Linked DNA regions of Coturnix japonica. Each later gene encodes a partner of the first gene's protein in a complex. Links are inferred from orthologs where the notes say so. Each region holds a gene or a part of one and is shown in the gene's direction. Other genes may lie near its edges.

The links.
Region 2: the proteins of EDN1 (region 1) and EDNRB are in contact, whole or in part, in a cryo-EM structure (PDB 8XWP), measured with the Homo sapiens proteins. The link is inferred for Coturnix japonica from reciprocal best matches to the Homo sapiens genes EDN1 and EDNRB. Residues at the interface, in NP_001403492.1 of Homo sapiens: Cys53, Ser54, Cys55, Ser56, Ser57, Leu58, Glu62, Cys63, Val64, Tyr65, Phe66, Cys67, His68, Leu69, Asp70, Ile71, Ile72, Trp73; in NP_000106.1 of Homo sapiens: Pro88, Pro89, Ile94, Glu95, Ile157, Asn158, Lys161, Glu165, Asp166, Trp167, Val177, Pro178, Gln181, Lys182, Val185, Phe240, Ile243, Met245, Tyr247, Leu252, Ile254, Leu256, Leu257, His258, Pro259, Lys270, Lys273, Leu277, Trp336, Leu339.
Region 3: the proteins of EDN1 (region 1) and EDNRA are in contact, whole or in part, in a cryo-EM structure (PDB 8HCQ), measured with the Homo sapiens proteins. The link is inferred for Coturnix japonica from reciprocal best matches to the Homo sapiens genes EDN1 and EDNRA. Residues at the interface, in NP_001403492.1 of Homo sapiens: Cys53, Ser54, Leu58, Asp60, Lys61, Glu62, Cys63, Val64, Tyr65, Phe66, Cys67, His68, Leu69, Asp70, Ile71, Ile72, Trp73; in NP_001948.1 of Homo sapiens: Tyr68, Gln72, Thr73, Lys74, Tyr129, Asp133, Ile136, Asn137, Lys140, Leu141, Gly144, Arg145, Trp146, Gln165, Lys166, Val169, Glu220, Phe224, Val227, Phe229, Tyr231, His236, Lys237, Thr238, Cys239, Met240, Leu241, Asn242, Gln252, Lys255.

The regions. Positions count from the first base shown.
Region 1 is NC_029517.1:66,442,860-66,447,147, forward strand, and holds the start of EDN1 (endothelin-1), read left to right. Parts: upstream 1-1,467; 5' UTR 1,468-1,615; coding exon 1,616-1,679; intron 1,680-1,763; coding exon 1,764-1,911; intron 1,912-2,887; coding exon 2,888-3,046; intron 3,047-3,316; coding exon 3,317-3,424; intron 3,425-4,288. UniProt on the Homo sapiens protein: Endothelins are endothelium-derived vasoconstrictor peptides. Probable ligand for G-protein coupled receptors EDNRA and EDNRB which activates PTK2B, BCAR1, BCAR3 and, GTPases RAP1 and RHOA cascade in glomerular mesangial cells.
Region 2 is NC_029516.1:138,029,506-138,032,736, forward strand, and holds part of EDNRB (endothelin receptor type B), read left to right. Parts: intron 1-74; coding exon 75-224; intron 225-1,163; coding exon 1,164-1,297; intron 1,298-1,825; coding exon 1,826-1,934; intron 1,935-3,231. UniProt on the Homo sapiens protein: Non-specific receptor for endothelin 1, 2, and 3. Mediates its action by association with G proteins that activate a phosphatidylinositol-calcium second messenger system.
Region 3 is NC_029519.1:28,053,592-28,057,782, forward strand, and holds the start of EDNRA (endothelin-1 receptor), read left to right. Parts: upstream 1-1,387; 5' UTR 1,388-1,737; intron 1,738-4,191. UniProt on the Homo sapiens protein: Receptor for endothelin-1. Mediates its action by association with G proteins that activate a phosphatidylinositol-calcium second messenger system. The rank order of binding affinities for ET-A is: ET1 > ET2 >> ET3.

The DNA.
Region 1 (4,288 bases):
GGAAAGGCTGTGCCTATTTTATACAGAAATCATCGCTATCCTTCAACCCACATAACTGCATTGCATTTATTTTCTTTCTTAACGCCAAGCAAACGGAACAGAAGAGAACAAAAACCCACCTGATTTCTTTCCCAACTTGCAAATACTGATAAAGTTTATGATTCCAGTTGGCTCAGATTAGTTTTTTATTTGTAGCTAGGTGACCTCTGCTGGTAGATTCTTATCATTACTGTAATAGTTCACACATTCAGGCATGGATACAGTGATATCCCACCGGGTAAGCACTGCTCTGTGTGGACAAGATGATATGATACATAAGCACATACAATTCCAGCTCTGAAAAAGCAGACTTCAAAGGTGTAAGCAACCATATAGCTCAGATTCCTCCACTCACAGAAGCTTTAGAGAGCAGCTTTTATTGAGCTGCGTACAAGCGTTTCAGCTGAGGATTTGGCTTAACATTTAAGTTTATTCAACATCATGATAGAAATGCCAGGTATTACTCAGAAGGCCCCAAAATTTCATCCCCGGAGGTTATGGCAAAGGGAGGACTCGTCTCCACTTGCGTTCCTTTCTTGCTCTCGTCCCACGTGCCAACAGCCTCTGCTGGAGAAAGCTCAGCAGCAACGCAGACTTTCTTCTGACTCAGCACAGCTCCGTCCGCTACGATACAGCGGCTCAGAACAACACCATAACCGACAAAAAAACCACGGGCATTCACCTGGGGTAAAACAATACGACTCTCAGCTCGCAGCCTGGCTCTTTGTGATACCCAAGGTCACTCCTATTCTTGCAGCACAGTGCGAGGAAATACCACGAATACCGAGAGGGCCTTATCTGTTTATCAGAGGTGGAACTGGCACGCTCTCCGGGGCTGCAGCTCCGCGCAGGAGCTCGAGCAGCTCCTCAGAGCCTGGGTTTGGAGCCCAGGTTTGGAGCCCTCACGGTGCTCGGCGTGTGCGTTCACCGTGACATTGCACCGACGAGGAGGCAGCGGGTGTGAAGGTGTTGAAAAAGCCGCATCCCGGCGGCGTGCACCAAAGCTTCGCCCCCTCCTGACCCACATCCCCGCTGTTAGGCGCACAGACCCCAGACAGCGCGATATCACAGCTGTGCCACAGCTGGATCCGAGGGACATCCCCGCGGCTACAGCACACGTTGGGGCGGGGCGGCTCTTGTGCTCAGGTGTGAGATGTGAGATGCAGGGCAGCCGTGCGCCCTCTGCAGCCCCTGTCCCGTCCCGGTTCCCCCCTCAGTCCCCCCCCCCGCCGCCCGCGGCCGGCGCTCTGAAGTTAGCAAGCGATTTCCTCCCCGGGCCGGCCTTATCTCGGGCCGCACGTTGCCGCGCGGTGACTAATAGCGGCACAACATTGTCTCGGGATAAAATAGCGCCGGGGCTGTTTACCCGCTCCATGGGGGTTCGCTATAAAAGGGCGTCGGGGACCGCCGCGCCAGCCAGACGCGCCGTGCCGCCCCGAGCCGCCGCCTGCCCCCGCGCCCCGCCGCCAGCGGGAGCCAGCGCCCAGCCGGCCACGGGAGAAGCCTCGTCCCTCCTCCTCTCCCTCTCCTCGTCTCTCTCTTAAACCCGTCTCTCCACCCGCTCCCGTCGTCCGCTATGGATTGCAGCCGCCTGCTCCTCCCGCTGCTCGTCGCGCTGTGCCCGGCGCTGCTGCCGGCAGGTAGGTGCCCTAACCTCGCACGGGGGACCGGGGCCGGGCGGTGGGACCGAGCCGGGTGCTGAGCCACTACCGCTCCCTCCGCAGCTCCCGGAGCCGAAATGAGCGCAGCATCCCCGCCGCCCCCCGCAGCCGCTTCGCACCGTCGCGCCCGGCGATGCTCCTGTTCGTCGCTGCTGGACGAGGAGTGCGTGTACTACTGCCACCTCGACATCATCTGGATCAACACCCCCGAGTGAGTGCCCCGCTGGGATGGGGCAGAGAGGGGTGGCGATGGTGTTGGGATGGGGGTTTGGGAACGCGACAGAAAGGGGAAAGCGATACTTCTGTGCCACGGGCTCTCCTGGTTCTGCATCCCACCTGCTGCTTTCCTGCTGAGTTCAGCAGTGAGCCGGTTCGCTAGGAGAACAAAGAGGGGATCTGAGAACACAGGCTAAGCAAAGCAATCCTCCCCAATGCACCTGTGCTCCCCAGAGCTCTGGGTGCTGCTCTCTAGAAGGTGCAGGATGCTCCTCGCAGCCTACGGAGTGGTTCTGCCTGCCTTTGCGTGAGCATTTTCTCTGGCTGAAAACTTGCTTGTACACGAGGTGGCCCCTCACTATCTCCTGCAGCACTTTGCTGCAGAGCAGTGCGCTCACAGCGTTAGGAACTGTGTTGTCTTCTGTCATCTCCAGGCTGGATGTGGCTCTGGGCAGCCTGGTCTAATGATTGGTGACCTTGTACATTGCAGTAGCAGGGGAGCTGAAACTAGATTATCTCTGTGGACCTTTTCAACCCAGGCCGTTCTGTGATCTCCCCCCCCTCCCCACCAAACAAAAACTGAGGAGCCAGACCCTCTGCAGTGCTGGCTTTGGTGATCTGCACTACCACAATGAGTGGAGAGGATCTGTGTTTTTATTGCTTCTTTCAGCATTGGCAGTTACCAAAGTTCAAAGAGATGAGGCTTTATTGCTTTCTATCACACAGGGAGGGATGGCAGCCTTATGAAATCACAATTAGAAGGTTGTTAGCTGTGCTAGTAGCCACTCTAATTACTATGTTGCAGGATCATCAGAAGTATTTGCATGGGAATTATGACCAACAAGGCATATCCCAATTCCACAACCTTTACTCATGCAATCAATCCCATTGATAAGATTGCCCAATATACCCTGCTGTTCCAAACACACAGAATTATTGAATTGACTTTCATGTTGTTTCTTTGATCATAGGAAGACTGTTCCCTATGGTCTTGGAGGCCCTTCTCGGTCCAGAAGATCTCTGAAGGACATAATGCCTGAGATGCTTGTTGGAGCCAGCAACAGATGCCGATGTGCCAGCCAAAGAGACAAGAAATGTCTGAACTTCTGCCAGACGGGAAAAGATCTCTGGTGCGTCTATTGTTACGACTCTTTAAAAGGCAGCGTGTGTGAATAGGGCTGGACTGTGGTAGACTTACTCATTTTGGCACTTGCTGAGTGAATAATCTCCCCAGAGCCTTGCCTCCTACCTTGGCGCTCACGGTGCTATGATGCACTCTATGGTTTGGCCCAGAAAGGTTGCTTATTGCATGCCTTGAGGATCGGTTGGTGAGACACCTCACCTTGTGGACCGCAGACTTGTTTTTTGTTCTAACAGCAGCGCCTTTTCCCTTTTAACAGGGCTCAGTCCACAGCAGAGAAAACCTCACATCGCCACAACAAAGCTGGTGGTTGCATTGGACCTAAATGCGTGAACCAACAGTTTGTTGACAGCAGGAAAATGAAGAGGTGAGTTTTTTCTCATCCTGCTGTTGTTCCCCAGGGTAGCACTGTAGGGTGCATAGTTCTCCCCCATTTGGGTCAACACAGGCTTAGCTGTTGATTGCAGATGGAGAGTTTTCTGGGGGATCAGTGAGAGTCTTTTCAGGGCTTTGTTTGTGCATTGGATTCTTTGCTTTAAAGATAAGAGTACCAGGCTCTGCTTGGTGTTACCCATCTGCTTAGAGGGAGCAAACTCATATTTAAGACAACTATAACATAATTAAATTATGGAAGAAATAATAGAACTTGATATTGTAGTATGTTCAGATGTTATCTCAATTGCTTAAAAATATGTCCTGACTATTCTATTAGGAAATGGAGTCTGGTTGCCTTTTCTTAGATACTTTCCTCCATTCTACTGGGTTTAGAAGGTCTATCAGGATGTTCAGTAGGACAAGGAGAAATGGTGATAGGACAAGGGGGAATGGTTTCAAACTAAAAGATGGGAGATTTAGGTTGGGTATGAGAGAAAAGATTTTCACACTAAGAGTGGTGAGACTTGGGAACAGGTTGTCCAGAGAGATAATGGATGCCCCGTCCGTGGAGACATTCAAGGTCAAAATGGACAGGTCTCTGAGGCCTCTGTAGGTGTCCCTCTTGTGGAGAGTTGGACTGGATGACCTCTAAGGGTCCCTTCCAACTCAAACCATTCTATAATTCATTATATCTGTTGTTCTGGCTGGTGTGGCTGGCTTTCTAGAATGCAGGAGGCAAGTTTCTGCCTGCTGTGTCATTTGTGTTGTCTGATTAAATGTATGCACCATGAGTACAGGATTCTAGTAATAGAAATGACAGCAAAAAGGCTGCGGAAAGGGAAGATGAGAGATAAAT
Region 2 (3,231 bases), on another chromosome or scaffold:
TTTATAGTATACTTTTCACAGTTGTCAACAGTTAACTCTTAACAGTGCTTTATTTTTATTTTTCCCTCTTCTAGTTTTACAAGCAAGCTAAAGACTGGTGGCTGTTCAGCTTTTATTTCTGTTTGCCACTGGCTATCACAGCACTTTTCTATACTCTCATGACCTGTGAGATGTTACGAAAGAAAAGCGGGATGCAGATTGCTTTAAATGATCACTTGAAACAGGTAAGAATTTATCCCTGATAACTTTGTTGATTTTACTGCTGTATCGTCTTACTCTTCTATGACAACTCCAGGATTACTACTAAGGAGTACTTCATAGCAGTGGTGCTAATAAACTCGTATGTGTGTCAGAGCTGTTCGAAACCTAAGAAGTTCAGTGATGATCACAAGACACTTGTGCTGTTAATACTCCAGATTTTATAGGCTTTATTTCTTTGCAATAATGAGAGCTGAGTATTTGTTGATTAAAAGTAAGATCATCTCATGACACAGAAGCTGGTTCTGTGGAATTGTTAATTATTGTGAATTAATTTCATGCGAAACTGTAATAAGGTTATCAGTGTATCAGAACAAAACACATCGCAGAATACATTCCAAGTTAGTAGTACACCAGAGGGAAACATCATGTGTCATGAATTGAATTCTGAAGACAGAGAATTAATTTACATTTTTACTGTAAAATATATTTGTGATCCATGCTTTTCTAGTAGCCCTTTATTTTGCATGCTAATTTGCAGTGGTGGTGTAAATAAGCATGATCTTCTTACCTTGATAAAGCTATAATTTCAATCTCTTAGAACCATGAAAGGAAGGACTGAGATCAAAGTGCAAGAAAATGCAGTTGAAAACTAGCTAGCCTTTGAAAGTGATTGAGCTGACGACTCTTCCTCGTTTTGATTTAAAAGACTGTTTTTATGTCAGTGATTTTTCATATCATTACTCATACTTCAGTAAATTAGAGATACAGAGAATTGGTGCAAGACATCTAAAACAACAAAGAACTTTAAGTACATATTCCAAGAAAATAAAGTACTCTGATGTTCTCTTAACTCCTATTTTTATAGGGATTTTATTTTATTAAACATTTGGATATTAGAAGGGAGCAACCATCAAGAGAGACACAGAAACTGTAATGATGTACTTTCCAATTTTCGTTTTCAGAGACGTGAGGTGGCCAAGACTGTGTTCTGCCTGGTACTTGTTTTTGCCTTGTGTTGGCTGCCACTTCATTTGAGCAGAATATTGAAACTCACTATTTATGATCAAAAGGACCCCAATAGATGTGAACTTTTAAGGTGAGGCTACACAAACAAAATACATATGTGCTGCTGGCATTCTCCATAAGGATGTCTGAAGTTTTCTTTCTTATCCAGAACATTATGTTTCACTCCATTAACAGTTGAAATTACGAGGAAGCTTACAAACAGAGGGATTCTTTCTTCTTTGCTTGGTCTTTTCCTGATCGCTTTTGAGACTGTCATTCTGTCTTGTGACATTACGTGGAAGTGGGAGAAATTCCGTCCCGATTTTTCCTTTCAACTGAATAGATAGGATTAAACTTTTGAAGAAAATGTCGGGAATATTTCCTCTCACAAGTTAAAGTGAATGGATCTTTTGAAATTACTTTCAAAAGAATGACCTACTGAATCAAACTTCGTTATTAAGCACAATCATTACCTGCATGAGTTAATCCTATCGACAGAGGCCCTTTTACTATCACATTTAATAGTTCTTCCTTGATGAGTATAGCAGAACACAATCTTTATAACTGTAAACATTTTACGAGAAAATGAGAAGTCTCACTTACTTTAATTTCCACACAGCTTTTTCCTTGTGATGGACTACATTGGCATTAACATGGCCTCTCTGAATTCCTGCATCAATCCAATTGCTCTGTATTTGGTGAGCAAAAGATTCCAAAACTGCTTTAAGGTAAGAGACTGTTGGGAGTTGCACCTCTGGTTAAGAGATGATGTTAGCTGTAAAATTAATTCTCTAACACACACACACAGTGTGTTCACTAAAGTTTACTTTAAATTTCAGTTGGATTACAGTTAAGTATTCTCACCCTCTCCCTCTGAAGCTATGTAGAAAGATATTGAGGATTCGTAGAGTTAAAAAAAAAAAAAAAGCAAAATAGCATAGCATGTAATAAACCCTTCTGGCACCATGCTCATCAGGCTACATCATTTCCTGACTGGTCCTGGCGTGTGGCCACTTTGAGAGTCCTGACAAAGCAGTCTTGGGCTGCTTTGCAGAGATTCATGTAGCCGTATCCTCTGCAACCCAGCAGAGTGAACACACTGACCCTGTGCTCCCCAGAACCTGACTGAGCTCTTGGTTCAGTAGACACATAGGTAACAAAGAGTGTATGAGTATTCCCTTGTCATTTTCAAATGCCAAGGGAAAAGTCTGATGTGCTCGTGGTTTTGTCTTGGTTTGTGTCAATAGCCCTGGGCACTCATTCTCTACACAGGACTTAAGGCTTTGGTTTGCAGCCATTCTCCCTTCAATCCTGCAGCCTTACGGCAGGCCAGATCTACCACATCTACTCAGAAAATGTCCAGATCTGACATCCAGCAGCATCAAACAGAACCAGTGTTCTTTGAGCTTTTTTCAGGCTGCTCATTGTCTTCAGACAATGAGGTTCTTATCAAGATTCTTACACTGCCATGCAGAAATTCTTAGATTTTTCTTTAGTTGCAAAGCACTGCTAGTCCTATTGCCTAGTTATATAAATTCTTCGGTGGCTGTATTTTTCAATCAGATATCAGTCAGCTCTAGTAGTGATCTAGTAGATCCAGTAGTCTACTAGTGATGTGTTATCTACCTCAAACTTATAACACACTGCAAAAGCTTTAAGTGTTGGCCTCATCTTCCCTGTCTACATAGCTGTCACTCTGAAGGAATGACTGGGGCTAAGAACACAAAACAATCAAGGCCCTGACTGTGCAGAGAGGAAAAGCCTGGGACATGCAATTTTCCCTTCCTGTCAGGACCACAGGAGGACTTTGAGAAGCCAGTCAGTCTGTAACACCATCAAGAGGACTGAAGTCCATCTGCTAGAATTTGTGTAGTTGTTCACCATTCTCCTATTTAGTTCTCCTTTTTCCCTCTAAAAATGAACTAAACAAAACTCCATTTAGGAAGCAGAGATTACTCTACATAATTTTTTCACAAGCAAGATTATGAAAGAAGTGGTTTTATTTTTGGATGCATGTAGAATTGC
Region 3 (4,191 bases), on another chromosome or scaffold:
CACACAATTCTAACTTTTTGGACAATAGGACTCAAATGACTGTGGGAAGGGAGAACATCCAAGAGATTCAATAATTGCATTAGAGAAAGCACTCCATAATGTGTGCATGAACTTCAAGTACAGCCTACCTACCACTTCAAGAGGTTTTCCAGCACGTTCTCTTACAGATGATTCTTGACAAAGCACATTGTTAATACTAAGCATCTCTGACCAAACTGTAAAGATTTTTTAAAATAACTTTCACTAATATCACATGGACAATTTAGTGGCTTGTCAGCATTTACTCAGCTTCAAGGCAACATGACATTTTGAATTAAACTTTTATATCTGATTTGATAGCAGTAGGCTTCTTGTTATTCTCAGCCTGAACACTTACGTTCCTTGAAAGATCTTGCACTTTGACATGTTTAACAGAGATGACTTTCTAGAAGAAACGCAGCATTAGTGTTCTAGTTGATGCAGACACCCAGATTTTGTGGGATTTTTGGTTCAAGCTTTATCAAGTGATTTAAGAGAATGTCTACAGAAACGTTCTTTTAACTGTGCAGTACTCATAAAGTTTTAAACAACTTCTTACATGATTTACTACCAGGTATCTTAACTCTGCGGGCCACTAGGCATTGCATTTTTCTATTGTTCTTTTCTTTTTGTTCTGATTTCTCTAGGACCATACATTTTTATATCATATTTAGGAAGACTGCCTCAAAAGTAGAAAATTATTTCTGTGCTAAAGCCAGATGGAAACTTGCCATGAAATTGGGATCTTGAAATGATTCAACAAGGGATTCAACATTTCTTAAACTTATTAGTGTGAAGAGAACTTGAAACTGGTTCAATTTCAGGCTGCACTGCACTCTCTGAAAAGCTGTTCTTTTTTTTCTTCATAGTGAGAGAAGATTGTTAACCATGAGAGAACTTCCCATTTTTCTGTTTTTTGTTCCTCTACCTTGTCAGAAGAGCAGTATTAGGAAATGCACAAATCCCAAAACATCCTACAATTTTATTGTCTTTGTAAAAGAGGTTTTGGTGTTGAAAAATAAAAGGTAATAACAAGGTATGTCCTGGATGGACCACAGAACGTTTCACCCAAGAGCACTTTACAGATCCTGAGTTTTTGAAACTTTTGCACACCCGGTTTTACTGATTGCCTTGCAAACATAATCCTGAGCAAGTCAGGGAAAAATGCAAACAAAAGCTGTGCATTTAATCATATCTTTTTCCCCCAGTCTGGTTGCGGCTCGTAAGTCGTCTGATTCAATCAGACATACAACCTTTGCGTGAACCCAACACGCTATTAGGAGGCAGCTACAGGACTGGATGCATTCCCAAAGGCTGTTGCTTAAATGAGTCCGGTCAAGTAGTTTACCTCCATTTCAGAAAGGAAACAGTTAAAGAGCTCTCAGTGTTCCCCTGTGCCCGGGAGGCAGCCTTTGTGTTTAACGTTGGCAGGGGCTCGGATCGGGCTGCAGGCTTGTTTTAATTGGGGGAGGGGGCAGAACGGAGAGGACGCTCAGCCTTCAGTCCGTCTTTCCGTTACTGATTCAGCGGAGGTGGAGATTTTCTATCCCACCCAGTGAGCGGCGGGCAGAAGGATCTGCCCAGACTATCCCAGGAAAAGATCTCGGAGGAAATCTCGGCAGCGGGGGCAGCCGCAGCATGAGCGCGGAGCCGGGGCCGGCCGCACGGCTGGGCTGAGTGCGCGGAGCCGGCCGCGGGGCGCAGCCCGCAGCGCGCCAGGTAATGGCGGGGCACGGAGCGACTGGAGGGTGGGGTGAGGATGGATCCCCGGTGGTGGTGCGGGTGGAGGGACAGTCTTTTGTGTTAGCGGGAGAACTGCTAACACAGCAGCCCGGCAGCGAGGAGCGCTCGCTGTGCCGCTGGGAGACAACCCAGAGAAACTCACTTTGTCGGCGCTGCTTCTTTCACAGCTTTCGTGCTTTGGTTTATTAGATCTTGTTTCCACCTCAGCCGCCTTTGGGGCACACAAAGTGCTGTTCACGTTCTAGCTCTTCTTTAACACTCGGAACGCTTTCACTTCCAACAGTATGCCCTCATTGCCATTCTAGGCGCGGGGAGCTTCGAGCCCATACCCATATGTCCCCGAGCCCATACTTTGTAACTGAGCACAGGGACAGCACATACACGTGGCCTGCAGGTCTGCCGCACCGCCTCACACCGTGCGGAAGAAGGAAAATACAGTATTGCTGAAAGTTAGTAAGGTTAACTTGTTCTAAGTTGTAACTAGTAAGGTTAACATGTTAACTACATGAGGCAGGTCGCGGGCTGTTGCTATGCACTGTAATAATACACACACTGTGGATTTGTCAGGAATCCACAGGAATATATCGTTAGAAATAATTATAACACAATTTTAATTTTGCTTCTTATGGGTAAGTTTCTGCTGAGAGGGAAGAGGTGGCAACTGGCAGTTTTGTTCCTAGCTTTGCATGCTGCCTGTGTGATTACCGTGCTACCACCATGTCCATATGGCATGTGCATATTAAGTTGTCACAGGGAAGCATCATTAAATAAGGAGTATACTATATTATGACTAAAACTGTGTGTGGGAGCTATAGTCACTATGGATGATGTAAATATTTGCCTGAAAAGAGTTGTGGTAAAAAAAAAGTTGCCTGCTATTTTTGATATGATTTAGAATCCTAAAGCAAAAACACTTCCATCCTGCTGATGTTTGCTGACTGCCCTGCACTATCACTGTAACAGACGTTTAACAAAGAAAGATTTGCTGTTTAGTATATAAAACTTTGAAAGCAAGTGCACAGGTACTCACAGTTGGTCAGCTGGCCATCTCAAATGCACCAAGACAGAAGACTCAATTTGGATTACTGGTCTGTGAGGGATAGGGCTCTACATACCGGGCAGAAATATGCATTAGCATTGCAGAAGCTGCATATAGCCATGCACACACTTTTACAGATCACACAATAAATATTCACAGTGTGGCTGTGTCCAGAGCTTCTATCAGTGAGTTGTCTGCCATGGTTTTTCTGTTGTATATTGTTTTGTTTTATTATAAACTGAGTTAATAGCTCCATAGGGAGTGCAATTAGGATTCATTTAAAGGATCCTCCCAAATCCTTCATGTGAGTCTCTAGAAATCAGAAAGTTATAAATACTTTCTACTCTTCATTTGGCAACACTGACACAAACCACCTAAGGAAACCTCATCCTAAGTTAGATCAAGATTTCAAGGAAATGGATTTTAGAGTGACTTCCTTGGCTTGTACCTCCACAGGAGGTTTCACAGAAGGTTCTATCTGCCCCCTGCAGCAGGAGCCAGCGGCTCTGGAGATACACACAGGCAGTTATACCAGGAAGGAACGCTGTGATGCTTCCTTTCCTATCTGGAAATGTCACGAGTTATCACTTAGAACATTAAACCAAGTATTTTTTTATCTTTGGAAGAGCATAATTTTTTTATAATTAACTTAACCCCTGATAAGGACTGCAACATGAGCTACAGTGACATTATTCAGGAACCAGAGGCTTTTCTTTATCTCAGTACATTGACACAAGCAGTTTTAAGGGCCTTTCCTGGTCAAATGTCCTGAGACTGTGAAAGTCTTCCTCCTAATGTCTTTGGACTTTGGATACAGTGCAAATTTTGATCTTAAATATATGTATTTTCAGTCTTCTGAAATCTGGGTAATTATAAAGTTGGGGGGAAAAAAGCCCATGAAGCCTAATTATTGCAAAATATAAAAAATACTAAAAAAAAAAAAACCAACAAAAACAAATATGGTGCCTATAAGTATTAATACAGCACTGGTACCTCACCTTTTAATTGACAAAATAATAACCTTTAATTTGGTTTAAAATACCCTAGAACAGCTTCCAAGGCCTCCCTTTGATGATATGCTTTTCTTGCGAGACTGTATTTTAAAACAGAGCTTCACCCACCATATTTTGTACCTTCATATACAAATTGTCTCCAACTAAGAGGATTCTGCAGGATCTCATTTGTCTTTGTGTCTTGTTAGAGAATGAACAAATGGGGGCAATCTAGACTTCGGAGTAACACGATGATGATGAACAAGTGTTTACATACTTGTGTTATAGAAAGTGCACAAATACCCTTCTTTCTAAATGAGAAATAGGATGTGTTACCCTACTTGGTGTATTGATGTGTTTCCTTTTTTTTTTTTTTTTTTTTTTTTTTTTTTTTTTTTT